Neurospora crassa OR74A: one gene and its partner. The protein of the gene in region 2 purifies or fractionates together with the protein of the main gene of each other region. This does not show direct contact. Links are inferred from orthologs where the notes say so. Each region holds a gene or a part of one and is shown on either strand. Other genes may lie near its edges.

Region 1 (3,976 bases), on a different chromosome or scaffold from region 2:
CTTCTTTGGTCCCTTCTCGCTCTAGGCCACACTACCGGGGAACCGGCCATTACTGATACCCATTTCTTTTCGCCCTCACCAGGCCATTAAAGCCGTACACGTCAACATCTATGATGTCCTTGAAACCGATAGAATCATTCAGGCCGGGGGGGAGTCAAGGCCGCAGCGATTCACAACACCTCAGGCGCTCTCAAAGTATTCAATAGGGCATCGCAAGATTTACCCCAGGAATAAGGTCATCGAAGATCAGCCGGAGCACGCGATGCTCAAGCACATTTTCGATCCGGATTTGGAGGAAAAGTTGCAGAGTAAAAGAGAGGAAAGGCTGGGGAAGAAGAAGGAGGCGAAGTTGAAGGGAAAGGAGAAGTCGCAAAGGGAGAAGGAGGTAAAGCAAACGGAAACTGGAAGCACCTGAGGATTGAGGGGATACTGATGCCTCTGAAGACGTGGTTTGATGCATGTCATGCGTACAAGGAGAAGCATGGGAATACATATCGTTGCCATAGGGCTGACACTTGCTGAAACCTTTTAGACGAGCTGGACAGAATTTCATGGCCCAAAACCTTCAAACCCTTAGATTACCACTAGTTTATACTCCGCACTATTTTATCGCCAACTCAACGCACTACACAATGCGCAGATCTAGCTCCTAATCTCCCACATCCTAATCTTGCCCACATCATTGCCCACCGCCAACACATCACCACCATTCTGGTGGCTAAACGCCACAGCAGTGATCCTACCCAAAGGCGTTTGCTCCGTAGGCCAGTTCCTGTAAACGGTGCAGCTAGGCAAGTGCACCAGCCTTAACGCGTCCTTCTTGTGGAAGCTACCAAACGCCAATAGCTGACCGTCCGGCGCGAACGTCACCACTGAGATGGGCGTCGTGAGCTGCTCAAACGTCCTCTGCGGGGTGGGGATGCTCTTAATCTGCACTGTCTCCTCCTTGGACGCCGACGCACCACCCTCCTTCTTAACAGGCTCAACCAAATCATTCCGATCGTAAATGTTCATAATGCCGCTATTCGAGCCCACAGCCACCCAGCGATCGCCACCAATCTGGCTAGGGCCGGTGCCCTTCTGCCCGCCCAGCGCAATCACCGTGCCGCCGATCGATCCTTCGTCGCGCCAAACGCCGACCGTGCGCCGGCTGAGCATGCTCCACTCAGTGACCTGGCCGTTCTTGCCGAGGATGGAGAGGCCGTTGCCGTTGCCCCACCAGGCGAAATCGGAGATGCCGCCGCGGCCATTGGTGCGCGCCTGCGCAATCCACTGCATCGTGCGCACGTTGACGATGTTGATCATGCCGCCGCCCTTCTTCTCGGAGGCGATGAGCCCCAGGTAGCGTCCGCAGGGCGAGGGACGGAAGTGCTCCATGGTACGCTGCTCGCGCTGGTGGCCCTGGATCTGGGTGATCTTCTTGACGGCACCCGACGAGAGGTTCCAGCTGTGGAAGTAGCGCCGGCGACCGGCGAAGATGACGTCGTCGCCATCGGGACCGAGGAACTCGGAGCGCCGAAGGTCGGTGCGCTTGACTTGCACCGACGTGAGGGCCGGGTTCGGAACCGGGTGCGCGGTCGGGTCAACTTGGTGTAGGTACATGATGGAGGAGACGCTGCACGAGAGCAGGATGGGGTGCTTGGGGTGGAAGGACAACGAGCTGACGGACTGCTTGTGAATGTCGGGGATGTCGCGCGAGCGCTGAATGTCGATGGTCTCGGGGCGCAGCTTGCGGCGCTTGCTGCCACGGGCATCGGCGCTGGCGTTGAAAGAGTTGACGTCGCGGAGGAAGGTCTCGAGAGGGAGGGCGGATTCGATGTCGTCTTCGGCGTCACTGTCTTCCTCGGAGGAGGAACCGGCGGCTGAAGATCTTCTCCTCCGGCGCTGGCTGGCGGCCGAGGATTCCTTGGCCCACTCCGGAAGGGGGTATAGTCGGAGGTACTGCGAGCGCAGGCGGCGCGCGTACTCGGTGCCGTTCACGACATCCTCCTCTTCGGACTGACGCAGCTTGCGCAACCGCGAGGCAGCCGCAAGGGATACTGTCAACCGCTCGTCATCGCTGTCCTCCCACGCTGGGGGGTCCTCCTTCTGCTCGTAAGCCTCTAGCGCAGAGGGCGCGGCCTCTGTCTGCTTCTTATTACCGGGAACGCCAGTATCGAACGCGAAGAGGGCGTTATCGTCGACATGTTCGAGGCCAGTCGTGTCATCTTGCTTGTCGGTCCTAATGAGAGCCTTGGAATCGGTAATATCGGCGAGGAAATCGTCGCGGAAAAGCTGGGCGCGGAAGGTGTCGTTATTGCCCAAGACGAATCGTTCGAGGTCTTCTTCGTCAGAGTCCTTCTCTTCAATATCGTACTTTTTCCTCGGGTCGGCAATTGAATCCATATCGGAGTCGTCCTCGTCGTCGTCGTCTACTGACATGCCATCATTGTCGTGCATCTCCTCATCGCTCTCCTCGTCGAATCCGACGAATTCGTTGTCGTCGGAAACTTCGTCTTTCGTCTGTGGCGCCATTTTGTTCTGATTTAGGAGATTGCGCAAAGCCCAGTAACGGGAACTTTTGCTGTGAGATCCGGTCCTGGTTAAATGGAGTTGAAATGGACGGAAATGCCACGACCAGTCGCTAGTGTTTGGTTTGTTTTGAGGTTGGGAACTTTTTTTTTCGTTATCAGCCTTGCAGATCGCAGATCCTGTCCCACTTAATCTGGACCCACTTGCTATCACAAGCACGCCAGCCTTGTTCAAGGAATAAGTTTGAAGTACCCCTACAAAAAAAAAAGTAAAAAAATAAACATATATTAAACTTATCTGATGCCTCAATGCTACTTTCATTAACAATATCTTTGTGATGAAGATGACTTTATGTGAACTCATTCGAAGACAATAAATCTGACCAGACACGAACTAGTACTAAAATTATGAGCCACGCAGAGCAAATATATGATTTCAAAAAGAACATATGCATGAAGAGTACGTGGTGTTTTGGTATCCTTGCAGATGATTCTATGTCATCTCACAGCCACCTTTTTGATTATTGGACGACAAGCAAGTCTAGAGCCTAGCTTAACAACAGAGCACAGCTAATGCCCACCACACACAACAAGTTAAGTGCATGCTTGCAGCTCGCCAGCCCAGCACCACTACCAACATTCGACGTCTCAATAACCGTCGAATCACCAGGAGCAAAGAGGGCGCCGAGTTCGTTAGTGTCTGTCCAATCGATGTCCTCGGGCGCCAGTAACGGGTTATCAAGTGATTGGCAAGACGGGCGGTCGTCGCTTTTGCTGATGCTGTTGGTCACAGAGACGGGAAGATCAAATATCGTGTAGTGGTTCTCGCCATTGAGTCTGAAGCGTTGGTGGATGGAGATCTTTTGAATTGTCAGTGAAATGGCTATCAACACACTCTTAAGCTGACTATTTGGAAAACCCACATTGTAACTGCCACGATCGTTCCCATTCGTACCATCGCCAACCATGCAGTCGGGCCATGTCCACCGGACATGCTTCACGGTGCTACCAGGCTCGGAGAGCATGATATCACCGAGTGTGGCATTGTTGGCCGACGCAGTACCGTTGGTGATGGTCAAGTTTCGGCCCGTTACGTAGCTGTAAAGGAAGATGTTGATGTTGTAGATTTGGCTGGAAGCGTCGTCGCCGTAGGGCGGTAGAGGAAGCTTGCCATTGGCAGAAACATCGAGCGCAATCTCGACATTGTCTACACAAGTTGAAGCTTATTAGTAGCAAGTCCTCAAGTCCTTTGCCGACAGCCAGCCGGGTACTAATAGTACTAACCTCCGCCAAGAGGCGTGTCCGGCTGGGGGGAATCGACGATAACAAAACCAGGGGTGAAAATCTGGCCATTGCTAACGGTAAAGTTGCTCGCAAGACCCTTAGTCGCAAAAAGTGCCGCAGCTGCAAACACAGCGAGAGACAATGATTGTGTCATTCTCAGCAATGTGATTCAACGATCTCGG
Region 2 (16,552 bases):
ACCGAAGCTTACCGTATGCGCAGCTTGATTCACGAACTGGGAGTCCAGCCTGTTTTGGGGTCCGACTTCCCCGTTGAGCCGCCCAACCCGTTTGAGGGCATGTACGCGGCCGTAACGAGGAAGAACCCGCATACGGGCAAGGGAGCCGATGGTGGCGATAAGGGTTGGTATACTGATGAAGCACTCAGTCTTGAGGAGGCGCTTGCAGGCTTTACCAAGGGGGTGGCGGGCGGGATGTTTACAGAGGGGAAGACGGGTGTTATTGAAGAGGGCGCATTTGCGGATTGGGTAGTGCTTGATGAGCCGTTGGAAGTATTGGCCGCGAGGGACAACGGCGAGGGATTGAGGAAGATTAAGGTTAGGGAAACGTGGGTTGGTGGTAGGAAGGTGTATGATCGGGAGGAGAAGGTGGCGAAGAAAGTAGTGAATAATGGGGAGGAAGGGGTGAGGGAGGGTTTATGAAGGAGATGTGAAGAAACTGTGAAGGTGAGAGTAAATAGCAAAGGTTGCAAACATGGATGATGTTATGTATGATGGATGCTATGACTGGATAATGTACAACGATGGTTGATTCTACATGACAAGAGATACAAGGGTCGTGTGAACGAGAACGTGTTTTGGTTCTTTGTCGAATTAGACAAAATCTCTGTCCAAAGAGACTATGTCAGCGTCCGTCCACTTTCTGTTATCACCGTCTCGACCGTTTCGATAAGAAATCAATAATTCCTTTTCTTATCTTATTTCGAATTATCATGTTTTTGCTTCCCATCCCTCGTGCCCATTACGACGAAGAGCAATAAAGAGGCAGAACACAGTCAAAGATCACCAAGGAACCGAAGACCAAACTCGCTTGCGATCTGTAGTTACGATATTGACCCATGCGTTTTCAATCACCCATCATTACACGCGGCACCCCTTAGGCCCCCCCTTAAGCAGCAAAAGCCTGAATCTTCTTGATCCTCTCTTTGGCCTCTTCCCTCAACTCCCTAACAATATCGCCAGCCGGCCTCTGGTCCTTTATCAGACCCACAGCAGTCCCGCTGCACATAGACATACCAGTTAGCAAACAGCATCAACAGTCTTTTTGCAAGATAAAGGAAAGAAGAGAGAGAGAAAAAAAAAAAACATACGACCAAGTCACAGCCCGCGAGTTATCCCCAGAGCTCGCTGCCTCCTTGAACTTCTTGTGATTCTCTTCAAAGGGGACACCGGCCGCGTGGTCGTCGTAGGAGGCATTGCGAACGGCTCGCCCGTCGTAGACGTTGTGCCAGATTGTGTTGCAGTTGATTTGGTCGTGGAAATGGGATCTATGATCTGGTTGTCAGGAGGCTGCTGCTGGTGTGCAGTTCAGGGTTAAAAGGGTATGACTAACTTGACGGTGTTGAGACCACCATCGTTTGTCTCGAGGATGACCTTCCTGCGGAACTCGGGGGTGGAAGCTTCGACTGCTACGGTGAACTGAAAGGGAGGCTTGTCAGTACTTCTTTTCCCATCCAGAAGGAGGGGGAAAAGGGGGGGGGAGGGATCTGGAGAAGAACTTACCCTAGTACCCAATACCACACCCTCGGCGCCTATTAATCAATTTAACCAGGTAGTTAGCACATCGTCACCCATCTCGTCATATTCACCCACCACTTATCCTCATCCATTTCACTTCACTTCCCCAGAGAGAACACAGAAAAGAAAACTCACCTAGACCCAGCGCCCCTACAACCCCCCTCCCATCCGCCACACCTCCCGCCGCCACAACCACCACCTCTCGTTCCTTGAACTCTCTATCAAGCATATCCCTAACCTCCGGTACCAAACTCACAATCCCACTCCCTGTAGCAAGCTGATGCCCTCCCGCATCGATCCCTTGCGCAACAATCACATCTGCCCCATCTGCCGCCGCCTTCCTTGCATCTTTCACCGTGCCTACTTGAAAGAATACCACGAACCCCGAAGCGTGAAGGGCCTCGATGATTTGCTTTGCTGTTCCCTTTGCGCCAGGCTCGGAAGAGGCCTCGAAATCCGGGTCGTTGGCGAAGAGCCAGACTGCTTGCGGGGAGTGTTCGATCAGGATGGGCAGGACGGTGTCGGTTACGTAGGGAACGGAGATGGTGTGGGTTAAAATGAGGCCGACGCCAATGCCGGGGAGAGGGGTGAGGGGGCGGTCGGTAAGACCGAGGCGGCTGCGGGCGGAGGCGAGTTCGGTAGAGAGGGCGGTTAGGTGGGAGGAGCCGGGGCGGAAGTCGGAGCCGCCGGCGACAAAGCCTGGAAAAGGTTGCGCGGTGGTGTTAGTGCTGGGGGGTGTTGTAGATGAGATGGGTGAGTGGTAATGAGAGAAGGGGAGACGAACCAATACCGCCGGCCTTGGATACCTCGGCCGCAAGAGTGCCGTTGGCGATGAGATACATGGGGGCGCTGATGATGACGGGGTTCTTGGTGGTGGGGAACCAGGAGTTCAGCTTCGTGAGGGCCGCTTGGGCAGATTCCTCCTTCTTGCTGCTGTGGCCTGGGAAGTGCATGTTTATTGGTATATCTTGTTGATTCTGATTTCAAGTGTCTTTGGTGTTGTTGTTATGGTTGGTGAATGATTGTGAGGTGAGGTGCGGGGTGACGGTATGCTTATATAAATACTCCAACTCGGCGATGAGGTTCTCCGCGGAGGTTGTACTTACACCACAACTCAAAGTGGAGAAGGGTCACTCTTATATACGACAACAGCCGATCGCGTTCCGGTGGCTATGTTGAGTAACTTGCGACTTTCTCGAAAACTTGCTGTATTCCTGAACGATTTCCTGATTGGGATGTTTGGTATGGGTCCGGACATGGGGTGAATTACCGAGGAGAATAGGTAGGTGATTCACACTTGCACCGTTCCTTTCCCCACAAGGTCCCTCGGTCAAATAGTTGAACATTGACAGATGAAATCTGAACTTGGGAAGAAAGGGAAGCATGAGATCAGACACCCTGAGTATATATTATGTGTCTCTAGGATGAGGCGGCAATGCCATTCAATCGAAAAGTCGCGGTCATAGGTGAATGTATAGTAAGTACTGTCTGTTTTTGGATCAGTCATCAATATGATCTATCGCTAGATGACGTTGTGGGTCTGGTAGCCCCAATCCGCTGTCTGTCTATTCAATGTTGCCCTTTGAGCTACCCAAGGCCTTTGAACAGAGCTGTGTGCAACACATGAGTTGCTGTCAATCGTTATCAAGAGCTTCAAGGCTCCCGTATCCCTTTGGCCCTTGGCATGGGCAACATACTCTCACCTGCATGACCGCATAAGCATTGGCAGCCATCAGGGCGCCTTTCCCACCATCAAGACCAACAATATCGCATTGCCGACGCACGCCACTACAAATGTCACCCACACCGCAATCTCTCCTATCATCGAAGGTGCTTGAAACTCGTGCCTCGAATTCCACATGCACAACGCAGCGACTGCCGTGCCCAGCGAGGTGACGATCCCGACTGTCACGCCAGCATCTACCTCCATTCTCATCTTGTGGCGGCCCGTCATAATCAACATTGTCGCAATACCCATCAGCACAAACGTGACCAGGTAGCAGCCCCAAGTGCCCCAAAACAACGTTTCGTCGCGATGGCGTGCAATGCGTTGTTGTTCTAGGCTTCGGTAGCCCGACTCCGGAAACTCCTCAGAAGACGCATAGCCGTAAGAGCCTCTTCTCTCGGCGCGCCAACGACCACGGCTGAAGCTGTGTGGAGGCGAGTTTGTGAAGCGATCGCTGACGTTGTCATCGTCGATGTCGGTGTCGATGGGGGCAACGCCAGGAGGGTATGTAAAATAGCTGGGCGGCGCGAGGGTCGCGCCGTACCGGTCGGTCGACTGGGTTTGCGAGGATCCTAGTAGAGGCTGCTGTTCTGTACTTTCGTTTGCGCGTTGGTCTGGTGTTGATTCCTGACCACGCCCCATGATTTTCTTCATCGGCGACGAGATCCAGTTCATTATGCTGCTTACACCAGGGAATTTCATCTCTTCATCCGGGTTGATATAGATGGCATATTCATCGCAACGGTCGTCGCCGGCTTCGCTGCCGTGGTCATATTCGTTCCAATATCCTGTCGGGGCATCATCCTCGGGAACAATGGTCACGTTAGGCACGAGTCGGTGTTCCCCAGCGCTGGCCGGGCGGGTGGGCGTGGCGGGCTGGGTAGGTGGAGAGGAACTGCCACTACGACTCGAATCTCTCGGCGAGGCAGAGCGTATCGTCTGTAGCAGGTTTTCGTATTGTGATTGAAGCCGGGAGAAGTCACGCTTGGTGAAGCTTTTGGGGTTCGCCAGGATGGTTTCCCTGAACCGCGAGCCGAGAGTCGCCGAGCCCGTCCATTTCCGGTACTTCTTTAGAATCTTGCGAAAGGCAACGGTGTGTGCATTGACAAAGCGTTGGAGGGCCTGGATCTCGTCACCGCATTGTAGCAATTCTTGTTCGTATCTTGCAAATTGGCGCTGTCTTTTGGTCGAAGTGCGCGTTCTCGTAGAGGCAGCGCATCGGACAATATGGGCGTGTATTTGATTGGACAAGTGTTCTGGCGACGTGTGTCAAGATGTTAGTAATACGCGGCCGGAGTTGGGAGAATAGAGTGGCAGCGAGACGAGGTAAACATACGAAGACGGCGCGCTATTTCGTCCGCTTTGCTTGATACAAACAGATCGACACGATCATGTTGTCGGCAAAGCTCGTCGTAGAGGTCGTCTTCAAACTTTGAGAGTGCGGCGGCTTGGTGGCCTGGAATGGCAATCGCGGTTCCCTGAGACCTGGTGGTGTGCGCCTTGATGTAGTGTTTTAGCGAGTTGTAGTCGATGTTATCTGCTCGGTTGAGGTAAAGATCAGCAGGCATTCGTTGGTGAGATGTGGCACAGTCATCGGCAAAACCGGCGGAACAAGACGGGGAAAGACATACGGATTCGCCATTGGGGGACAGACTCCCTGTCAAACTGCTCCCCAAACTTCATTCCTGGTAGATGTGGTGGGCTGTAGTGGTGGTTGTACGGGTGTAGAGATTGGCACTTGTAATGCACGTATTGCAAGAAATGTCCTTTCACAACGTCGTCGAATCCCGTCTTGGGAGAGGTTACACCCGGTGGCGTCGATGTACGAAATAAACCGGTCTGCTGGGACTTTGATGGTCTGTACCGCTCCAAAAACCTGCTTCTTCTTTGTGCCTTTGTTTTGGTTCAAGTCGACGCCAAAGGCAGTGCAAAAAAGGCCGGAATGAATCTGTAATGACGATGTTGTTGGAGGGAGGCAAGCGGTTATATGCACAGATAAGAGAGGTAGTGTACAACTGTCTGTCGGGAACCCGCACCAGCGTCTCTTGCACCAACGGCACTGTGGCTATGACGAAAGTGTGGGATAAAAGCTTTGATCGCTGGCGGAGACGGTCTGGGGGAATGGGGACTGGACAGCCCAGGGTGTTGACTGTCTGAGGTCGTGATAAGGACGACCGGGGGACCGTGTGGGCTTGGAGAAGACGGTGAAGTTTCAACCGAGCGATCAACACAAACACTTCAGATTCGTTTCGGATGGCTGGAGACGGAGCGTCGCTAGACTTAGTTGGTAGAGTGGTCTAGAATGGCTGGCCAACGGTTGACTGCCGTCATTTGCGCTTAGTCTTTAGTGTGAACGTCGACCGAAGGCTGCAAGGAACTGGCGGGGAGAAAAGTGAAAGGAGACAAAGACGACGAAGATGGCAGAGAAGAAAGGAAGAAACGAAGTGTAGTAGTGTATGTGACGACAGGCCGAGCCGAAGTGAATCTGAAGAGCCATCAAATCTGAGACAAGCAGAGAGACAACTTGATAACTAAGTAAGCTGGAGTCACAGGCTTTTGAGAAAGCCAAGGAATCAAAATCAAGAAGGTCCTGTCCATCCAATGCGAACGAGAGGAACCACCTTCCACTCGACCTTTCTCAGTGGGTAAGTGGGTCTTTCTGCCAGGACCCAATGCAGCCCGGTCCGGGTCCCTCCAGGGCAGGGAAATCTTTGGTGGAACCTCGAGGTTTCCTGTGGGCTCTTTACACTACACTACGACGTAGCAGAAGTGGAGATGGAACCAACTGAGTTTGTGGTGTCCATCCTCTGCAACCATGTCCGTCAATGAGGTTTTCTTTTTGTTGGTTATCTTCAGGAACTTGCTTCAGTTCCTGGCCTCCCGTCTTTACCGTCCCGGAATATGGTTTTTGATTGGCACGGTTCCTTAATAGTTCCACCCTGGTCTAGAATCATCGGCCCTGTCATAGTTCAGTAAGCAGGCACGTGCTTGGGGCTGCCCGTGTCGTTGCCCGGGAAGCTACCCTCGGGAACGGTTATGGTAGACCTGCAATCTCTCCCCTTCTTTGTTCGGCTAAAAGGCACGCGACCAAGTGTTCTGTGTGTTTACCTTATCCACAAGCGAGCGTTTGTCGAGGATGAGTCTGGGCTATCACCAACTCGTTTATTATTGATCTACAAATTCATGCTAAAAGTTTTGTTAGCGCGAGACGTACAACGTCTTCAAACGAGGAAGAGAATCACTGACTATGGCGCTGCTATTGGTCTAGAAACACGCCAAAACCCGACCCGGATAAAGCGACTGTGCTCGATTCCATATGGCCTGTGTGGGTCCCATACAAATCGACAGCCAAGCTCAGCCAAGACCCAAAGCTTGGCATCTGTCGCGCCAACTTTCGCGACCGCAAGTCACCACCAAAGTCACCACCAAATGTCATTATCTTAACAACGATAATAAGAACTTAAAACCACCTTTTTTTAAAGCGTTGGACTTTCATTCACACGCAGGGGCCTCTCACCGGCCCCCTACACCCCCGGAACTAACCCTAACGCCTAACCCTAACCACTAACCCTAACCACTAATCTAGGTTACCGGGAGGTGACATGTGCCTTGGCCCACACAGGCTGTTTGGAATCGCGCACAGTCGCTTTATCCGGGTCGGCCAAAACCACCTCCAGGGTAACAACGATTGATCGTCCTCCACCAGGTTCCCCATACACACCCATTATGGTTGCGTAACTGGCTCGTCCAGGACAAAAAGAAAAACATGGTCTCCAGAACATGATGTCAACGGCATATTGACAAAACACCTACGAGTTTGTAAGGCTGTAGACACTTGTTGAGAACCATAAATGACCATGAAGACGAATAAAAGAGGTAAAATTAACGAGAGGAAATGTCATGATTCTGGTCTGGGCCGGCTGCAGTCTCTTTCATTTTGTCTCGACCGAGGTTAGGTAGGTACGGTACTCAAGCATTTGCACCGTGGTCCTACCAAGAGAAAACGATCGAGTTGCCACTGGTACAGCTGCAAGACGGCTCCCAACAGCATAGATGGGGTGGGGCGACGGACAGGTGCTCTTGACAAGTCGTGTTGTGAAGACCTGTTGTGGGATGCAGTTTCTCCTCTCACCCTCACATAGAGCCTGCCAGAAGGGAGGCGGATATGGAAAATAGAAAAGAATGAATCGGCCCGTCCGGATTTTCACAAGGAGATCTCCTTCGCTTGACAAATTAGGTAACATCCGGCAACTCAAAAGTATTTCCCGTCCCTCCATCTCGACGTATCTTCCAGCTCTGTAACCAAACAGTGTGCGATTGGCAGTTACATAGTGTGAGCCAACCGAAACTTCTCTCGCGACCTCCTGTACGACTTTGGAAATGTTGCCGTTAACTTGGCCATTCTACTCTAGGTAGGTAGCAGAGATAGATGGTGTGATGCGATTGGACCGAGCAACGCCACTTAGCGATCAAGTTCATGTGTCGTACTATACAGGAGGCCACTGACACTTGATGGGATCCTCGCCGTTCACGACAGCAAGTTAGTGGTTACATAGCAAACATCTTCACCGTGAGGTTCACAGTTATTTCCCGGCGAACATGAAAAAGAGGTCATATTGAGAGCACGCAACGCACGACCATAGAGGCTGGGATCACCAAAGCCACCATCGCCCTCACATTGACCTCGGCAACCGCTAAAGAACATGATACAATTCCCTGGCCTGGGATACGAAGGTCTTGAGTATCACTCGCAGCTCGGCTCGGCGGGACACTCTCCCGCGAGTTGCATTCAATGAAGGCTTAGACGGTCCAGACCCTAATGCAGCACGTCAACGCTGCTGTCGTATTTTGAAAGAATACCTCATGGTCCGTCAAAATTCTCACGGGCGATACCATATGCATAGGGATGTGGCTTGTGAAGGAACTTCAACAAGTGTTATGACTTGCAGCATCTTTCCCCGAAGGTGCGCAAATAACACCCTTACATTTCTACTATGTAATAAGAGCTTTCTCTGCACGTTATCCAGACCATGAAGAAGAGCCGGCTGGGTAAGTAGCCTACCTCTACAGAAAATAGTCCATCAACGTCTGTCGCAGAGATCTCATTACGATGTTGAAAAGAACACGAGAAGCATACTGTAATGTAGCTAGTATGAGGCAAACCTAGCGCTCTTCCTCAATGGGGTTAATCGTTGGTTTAACATTTTACAGTTCTTGCACAATTTAATTACCTTTTACCGTTTGACAAGAAACTTCCAGTTACGACGAAAGTGAAGCGGCGAAAGATACAATAGACTATGTACGAGCTGATGGGATTGATAGGGTAGTCTGGAATTTTAGATAAGGAAGTGCTGATAACAAGCTAGGTGCCTGTGTCGAAACGGCGACTTCACCTATCCAACAGCACTGGAGATCGTTGCGTGATTGCTTACTGAGTTTCCAGTAACTTCAGAGTAACTCGCTAGCGTATGCTATATTTAAAAAAAGGTCATTGTGAATTCATCCCCTCTCTCAAGCTTGATGTCGAGCATCTCCTTTGAGACTGCATGCACTTTGTGGTTTGTTTACTTGACATTGTCATCCGATTATAAGTGTTAAGGCAACCTCGTCTTATAGCGGTGCACCGCCCTGAAGCTTAACAACAAGAGAAGTGGGACCTACTTCCATTTCCAGAGAGCAGAATCACCCATCATTGGTCAATTCACAGCCAGCCCCATAAGCTGGTGCGGGGACGCCTGCCTCCACGCTTCGCCGTTTCCTGGACCTTGGAGAGCGCTATGGCAGAAAAAATTTTGGTCCATCAATATCGCCGGCTGGCAACCAAACATCGTCAGGTCGAACTTTTTTTTGTTTTGGTACGGGCAACGGCAAACACCGACGCCCTGCCATTTCTTAGTCAAGCGTCCATATTGAACCCTCAAGTCAGACACTTGTATGACAAGGCCAGCCTCGATACCCTAGCCTTGATTGATCTTCTTACAGCATTAGTCCAACCCTACCTAAAAAACAGACATGGCAGCTGGCAGCATAACCTCTTCCGTAACCTCGACATCCCAAACAATCACCCACGACCCCTCCACACACAACAGCGTCATGGCCGCTACCCTCGCCGCATCGTCGAGCGGCAGCACCTCTCCTTCGACAATTGCCAACAACCCCGTCGTCGCCTCCTTCCTCTCGGCCCTGGCCGACGAGTCCAACCGCCACGTCTTCCTGCAGCCGCCCTCGACCCTTCCCGCCGGATCCCTCCTGCTCGCCAAGGAGACCCTCGACGCGCTCGCCTCGCAGGTCAGTGACCACCAGCAGGCAAAGCTGAAAGAGATCGCGGCCACCATCGGTGGAAAGAAGCGCAAGCGTGAGGCTGGCTATGACAAGAATGCCGTGCTCAAGATTCGCAAGCTGCACGTCGACGACGGCTTCGAGACGGAGCAGATTTGGCAGCAGGCCAAGAAGATCATTGCCAGCGCCACAAAGGAGGCTGGCGATGTGCTGAAGGAGCTGGAGGAGAACGGGATTGTGGGCACCGGCGAGGAACAAGAGAAGACCATTGAGTTTGGAGAGGATGGGTTTGAGCTTGGTTCTGATGAGGAGGAGGAGGACGATGAGGAGGATGCTGATAGCGAATCTGGTTCTGGCTCTGAAGGAGAAGAGGATGAGGAGGATGACGAAGAAGAATTAGAAGGAGAAGAGGGCAGCCAGATCGACGACGATGAAGAAATCGAGATCGATGGCGAAGAGGTTGAATTCTCGGACGAAGATGGAGAAGGAGAGTTTGATGAGGAGGAGGAGGAAGAAGAAGAAGAAGAAGAAGAAGAAGAAGAGGAAGAGGATGCGCCAGAACTTGTCGAGGATCCCAACGGCCTCAACGACGGCTTCTTCTCAATAGACGACTTCAACCGGCAGACACAGTTGTGGGAGGACGCGGATGCCCGTGCGGACCCCAACGTCGATGCCGACAGCGACGACGAACAGCTAGACTGGCACGCCGATCCTTTCGCGACAAAGCCAAAATCAAAGAAGGGCAAGAGCGACAAGAAGAAGGACGAAGACCAGGATGAGGACGACGTCGACATGGGCGATGAATCCGAAGACGACGAGGCCCTCGAGGCTGCTGCCGCCGCCCACGCCAAGAAACTCAAGGGCAAGAAGAACGTGGAGCAGCTCGAGGACGATGGCGACGATCTCGGCCTTACAGATGGTGTTCTCGGTATGGACATGGACCTTACCGCCAACGACATTTACTACAAGGACTTCTTCGCGCCACCTCAAAAGAAGAAGACCGGCAACCAAAGGAAAGGAGGCTATTTCCCCAAGAAACTTGAGCAGCCAGATGAGGCCGATATGGAGAGAGCCGAGAATGATGTGCGCCGCGATCTCTTCGACGACATCTCGGAGAATGAAGATGAAGATAAGCTCTCGGATCTTGATGCTGGTGATCCGAGATCTCGCCGGTCCGCCCACGAGCGCAGACAAGCCAAGATTGCCGAGGAGATCCGCAGGCTCGAGTCTGAGCTAGTTGCCAAGCGCGCCTGGACTCTGTCCGGTGAGGCTTCCGCGCAAGCTCGTCCCATGAACTCGCTCCTGGAGGAAGACCTCGAGTTTGAGCATGTCGGAAAGCCTGTCCCCGTCATTACCGAGGAGGTTTCCGAGACGATTGAGGCGCTCATCAAACGCCGCATTCTTGCCAACGAGTTCGACGAGGTTCTCAGGAGACGTCCTGACACCCTCAATAACCCCAACAACGCGCGCCGCGGTCTCGTTGAGATCGACGACACCAAGGGCAAGCAGTCTCTCGCCGAGATCTACGAGGAGGAGCACATCAAGAAGGCCAACCCGGACGAGTACGTCAGCGCTTCGGACGAGAAGCTCACGCGCGACGAGGCCGAGATCAAGAACATGTGGAAGGACATCTGCGCCAAGCTCGACGCCCTCAGCAGCTGGCACTACAAGCCTAAACCCGCCGCACCCACCATCAGCGTTGTCACCGACGTCGCCACCGTCGCCATGGAGGACGCCATGCCCACCACGGCCCAGGGTGTGTCGGGTGGCGAGAGCACGCTCGCGCCCCAGGAGGTGTACGCCCCCGGCAAGGACTCAGTCGAGAAGGGCGAGGTCGTGGCCAAGAGCGGCCTGCCGATTGCCAAGGAGGAGATGAGCCGCGAGGAGAAGGCTAGGAGACGCAGACGCGAGAAGGAGCGCATCCGCAAGGCCGGCGGCCTGGATGCGAACAAGAACATCAGCAAGGGTGCCCAGGAACGCAAGGAGACGATGAGCCAGCTCAAGAAGGGCGGTGTCAAGGTTATTAACCGGAAGGGTGAGACGGTTGGGTTGGATGGCAAGAAGATCGCGGAGCAGAAGGGTCCTACGTCGAGTGGTGCCTTCAAGCTTTAAAGGTCGGGTTGTTAGACGAGGGATAGACGTAGGAAGAAGATGGATGATACCCTGATGGGTTGGACGGGTGGGCAGTCTTGGCTAAGGGCGATCTGTAAAGGTCTTTTTCTTTTGTATGGAATAGGTACATAATTGGGAGTTCAAAAACTATGCATGAGTTTGTTTTTCATCGGCCGTCAGCCGGTATACAATGCTCAACTGTTCACGTTCAACATTGTCGAAGATGATTCTTGTGTGCCTAATATTATGGAGTCAGTACAACAACTAATCCTGGCCCTCTCCAACCTCATTGCTCTGTTTCCCCTCATGCTTTCCTTCTGTTACCCGTCACTATTCTCCGTGTGATCTTTCCTCCAATTCAGCCCAGATCATAGCGACTCATAACTTGGTACCTACCTCTACCTCCACAGGTCTACAAAGTGAAAAAATGCAAAATCAGTCTAGCTATCCACCCTCAGCCAAATTGGTAACTCTCCATTTTCATTACATCTTATTAGTATTTGGGATTGCCTACCCCTACTACTAGCTTGCCCTTTATCAAAAAAAAAAAAAAAAAAAAAAAAAAAAAAAAAAAAAAAAAAAAAAAAAAAAAAAAAAGAAAAGAAAAGAAAGAAAAAAAATAAAAGGAAAAAAAAAGAAACAAAAAAAAAGGAAAAAGGAAAAAGTTCCCTCTACCTTGTTCAAGGCTATCTGTACCCCGGACCTCAGGTTTTGGTTGATTAAGAAGAAGTGAAGAGAGAAGTGAAGAGAGAAGTGAAGAGAGAAGTGAAGAGAGAAGTGAAGAGAGAAGTGAAGAGAGAAGTGAAAAGGGGATAACCCGAGGCTGAAGAGACCATGAAGAGACAGTTAAGCATGTTGTACACTACCTCTTATTCTGTTTGAAACCGTCTTCTTCGTCCGCCCTAATAAGACCTAGTGCCAGACGAACTGTCCAGACTATGTTTGGTATCATTCTACATCCATCATCCGCGTCCACCTCTGCAATCCACCACTGGCTTCTTGATATAGTTTGTTCATTTTTGGATTTATGAGCATGTACCCAAAATTGAAGGGGTAATCACATAGATATACTAGTTCTGGGGAACAGCTCGTGAGCCATTGACTTCTCGAAGACGGTCCGGAGATGTGAATACATACCCATATACGACAGACCATTTGCAGTCCCCTCTCGATCACGATGACTTGTTTGGGAGGGCCAAGGACATATGTGTTTCGAAAATCTCTCCTTGTTTTCATAGCAAGGATTGGCTACTTGAGTCTCTTATGAGGACTTTACAGTCGAACAATGGGTCGTTTTCTGGCCCTCGTCTCACTTGCCAACTGACTCGAGCATATACAGCAAAAGTACACAGTCACACGTCTTGAAGCAAAACAAAGTACAACTGGCCGACACTTTTCCAGCTCATGATGAGCTTTGAACGGATAAGGGAGAAAAAGCAAGACGCAAACTCTGAGCATAATACATCTTGTCTAATTTCCACTGAAGTTCCTTCTTGTGAGCCGTTGTTCTCGAGCTCTTCCGTTCGTCCATGAAATCTAACCGTGCTGTCTTTCCGGTTTTTACCACCACTCAATCTTCTTCTTTCATCGATCCTTTCTTGGCGCTACCACTCACCCCAAAGTCTAACCCCCCTCCCATGACCACGACAAGCAAGTGCCAAGCAGTAGTAACGCTCTCTACTTGCGATACCACATCCTCGTAATCTTCGTATTCCGCATCTTCCTCTGCAACTGGAAAATGCCATACATGAGCGCTTCACTAGTAGGCGGGCACCCCGGGACGTAGATGTCAACAGGGACAATCCGGTCGCAGCCGCGCACGACGCTGTACGAGTAGTGGTAGTAGCCGCCGCCGTTGGCGCACGAGCCCATGCTGATGACCCAACGCGGATCGGGCATCTGGTCGTACACCTGGCGCAGGGCGGGCGCCATCTTGTTGGTCAGGGTGCCCGCCACAATCATGACGTCCGACTGGCGGGGCGAGGCACGGAAGATGATGCCCAAACGATCTTGATCGTACCGCGGGGTTGAGAGGTGCATCATCTCGACGGCACAGCAGGCGAGGCCGAAGGTCATGGGCCAGAGAGAGGATTGGCGGGCCCAGTTGACGATGCTGTCGAGGGTTGTGCTATATTTGAATGTGTGTTAGTGGCATGTCCTTGTTGCTTGTGTTGTTGTGGAGAGGGCATAGGGGATATATCCTTGTCCGGATGTCAAGAGCGGATGTGGAGTTCGTGGAGCCCTCGGAACGTGTAACGTACAGAGCATATTGAACGGCGCCCTTGGTGCCCTCCTGGCTGGGAAGAGGAACCTCTCTGCGCTCGCGCCTGGCGATGCCGTGCTGTGCGCCCGCCGGGGCGACGGCACCCGTGGCGTCCTTGCGGGAGGACGAGGAGATGGAAGCGACAGCGGCCGCACGGAAGGGAACGATTTGGGCAGTCGGCCGGGCTGTGGATAGTTGGTTTATCGTCAGCTGGAGTTCGTCGCCGTGGGGATTTCGTGATGGAGCTGTCGAATGACTCGCGCGCTGACTCTCCGTCGCATTCAGAAAACAAAACACAGGCATCACCCACCTCTAAGAGCCATCGAGGCGCCTGTCCTCACAGAAGACATCATGTTGAAAATATCAATTGTCGCAAAAGGAGCGAGGTCTAGGTACCTGGGGAAAGGAGCGAGGGCGAAGAGGGTCCGGAACGGGGCTCGCAATGATAGTATCGACGTCGTCCCACCCAGTCTGCGGTTACACAGCGAGCCTCCGACTCCCCTCAGCGACGGGACTTCAGTTAGTTACAGTGATGCTGCGGCTTAGCCAAGTTATCCCGAGCATTTGCCTCCATAAAGTGACCCACTTTGTGGCGTCGAATAAGGCTGGGGATTTGAGGATTGAAAAGAGCTAGCTTTCCATTGGTCAAGGCATGTTTTCTTCCTGGGGAAGTTGGAGCAACAGGGAAGCTCAAGGGACTTCTGGGAAGGACTCCTACTCCTCCCCTCCCGCGCTGGATGACCATGTCGTTTGAAATCCGTGCATCTCGAATTCTCGCGGTAATCTGCATTGAGCGCAGTGCATCTGATGTATTTTGCCAAATCTTGATGAGGTCATCTTCACCCTGAAGTGTTGGTAGGGAGATACGCCTATCACCGTCCTTGGGTTCCTGATTGAGACTAAAAGCAGTCAATGCCATCCCTGTCTCAATATTTTGTCTAAATACGCTAAGGAGTGCCAAGATGTGGTGATAGCTTCATCTGCATCTATATAGCTTCCTGCAGAGGACCATAACGATATTGATCGCAGCACCCACTGACAATGAAACACAACCAAGAAACAGAAAAAGTAAAAAAAAAAAAGTAAAAAAAAGAGAGAGGACAAGAGCTGGAATCGAACGGCTGACGTCACGTTCAACTGGAAGGGAGTAGAAGAGCCCTATTTTGCATAGCCGGAAGACGCCAGCTTACAGTGCTTCCAGGGAGGTTCTCCCCCGCCATTTAGGTCCCCGTTGGGTCACCTACGGCGGCGAGGGCCCCCCCCCCAGCATGTGGTGCACTACCCTCCTTGTGCAAAGAGAGCTCAGCGCACCACGCCGCTCGACCACGCAGCCACTTGTCAGTTGGTTGAGTACTTATCACCTTGGGGTCCTTTATGAAGCCCAAGCTGAGGTCGCGCGTGCATGCATTTTGGGGTTTGAAGACAAGTGGTATTTCCATAGCCTCAGTGGTCAAAGAGCTGCTGCAATCTATCGACAACATGCCAAACGATACAGAAAACGCGCGCCAACACCTTTCTCCTGGTTTTCCCTCCCGCCCAATAACGCCTGCGAACAACAATCTGGTCGTGATATCGCGTCAGCCTAGTTAAGAAAAAAAAAAAAAAGAAGAGAAAAAGAGGGATACCAGCTGTCTTTAAAGGATCCCAGGTATAGTCGCAAAACAAAAGGCCCCCAGCTGGCCATCATCTGTCCGGCTAAGACTCAAGCCATTCTCTTGTCCGTGTCAGCCGACGCGTTTTCGCCAAGCTCGGGGTTGAGATAATTGGCGTCTTCGGCAGCCTCGTAATCGGCAATAAGGTCCATGACGACCTCCCTGGCTTCGTCAAACTCGTTGAGGTTTTCAGAAAACGGCGCCGTCTTTTTGTAGGCTTCCATAAAGGCGTTGCGCTTCCGCATGCCATCGTACTGCCTAACGATACGCTTGAAGAGCTGTGTGAAGAAATGTCAGTTTGATCATCTATCTAGCCAACACAGCAGCAGTTGACATACCGTAGCAATACTAGTATGGTTTGCCAACATCAAACCACTGACACGATGTGCCATAGTCACGTAGGGACTCCTCTTGGTCAGTGCCACCTGGATGCTAGCGGGACCCCAAGGAATGAATGTAGCAAGACGACGTTCCCTAATACGGAGCAGACTCTTGTGCACATCGGTTGGGTCCACGTCGCCCTGGATGACGTTCAGGATGGAAATGTAGCAGCTCTTCTTGCCGGGTACAGTAGACACCATGCGATTCTTGGGCTGCAGCAATCGTCTCATGACGTCGAGAACCGTCGTTTTGCGCACCGTCTTTGCCTGCTCTACCTGGTCGCCAGTGAAGGGCGTGTACGACGTCATCAAGAAGTGGCATCGAGGAGTCGGAATCAAGGACGCGAGAATGCTGACCAGGTCGTTGTGCATGTAGCCGGGGTATCGAAGGGTGGTTGTGCTGGCGGACATGACGGTCGATACGAGCTGATTCGTCTGTTGGAAGGATGGCTCTTGTACGTGTAGTCTGTCGGCGGCAATGTGTGACAAGGCGCCGTTGTCAAGCACCACTACCGAGTCGGCGTTTTGCGTTAACCTCCTCATGGCAAGTAAACTGTTGTAGGGGTGCACGACAACATCGCCG

What was found.
Region 1: the proteins of NCU03952 (region 2) and NCU03018 purify together in Saccharomyces cerevisiae (affinity purification with western blotting; 3 studies listed by BioGRID, with this or other methods). This does not show direct contact. The link is inferred for Neurospora crassa OR74A from reciprocal best matches to the Saccharomyces cerevisiae genes MPP10 and UTP18.

Annotation. Positions count from the first base shown.
Region 1 is NC_026501.1:8,426,268-8,430,243, reverse strand, and holds NCU03018 (small nucleolar ribonucleoprotein complex subunit), read right to left. Parts: upstream 2,801-3,976; 5' UTR 2,515-2,800; coding exon 643-2,514; 3' UTR 465-642; downstream 1-464. Other genes in the region: NCU03017 (hypothetical protein), read left to right, coding at 26-415; NCU03019 (hypothetical protein), read right to left, coding at 3,059-3,370, 3,434-3,717, 3,795-3,948. UniProt on the Saccharomyces cerevisiae protein: Involved in nucleolar processing of pre-18S ribosomal RNA and ribosome assembly.
Region 2 is NC_026506.1:2,213,487-2,230,038, forward strand, and holds NCU03952 (U3 small nucleolar ribonucleoprotein Mpp10), read left to right. Parts: upstream 1-8,886; 5' UTR 8,887-9,295; coding exon 9,296-11,674; 3' UTR 11,675-12,127; downstream 12,128-16,552. Other genes in the region: NCU03948 (amidohydrolase 3), read left to right, coding at 1-462; npd-1 (FMN-dependent 2-nitropropane dioxygenase), read right to left, coding at 929-1,040, 1,131-1,307, 1,373-1,458, 1,543-1,571, 1,693-2,256, 2,342-2,510; NCU03950 (hypothetical protein), read right to left, coding at 3,290-4,539, 4,620-4,820, 4,915-4,966; nuo19.3 (mitochondrial NADH-ubiquinone oxidoreductase 20 kDa subunit), read right to left, coding at 13,352-13,802, 13,936-14,122, 14,248-14,290; tbg (tubulin gamma chain), read right to left, coding at 15,640-15,867, 15,928-16,552. UniProt on the Saccharomyces cerevisiae protein: Involved in nucleolar processing of pre-18S ribosomal RNA. Required for the early cleavages at sites A0, A1 and A2 during 18S ribosomal pre-RNA processing.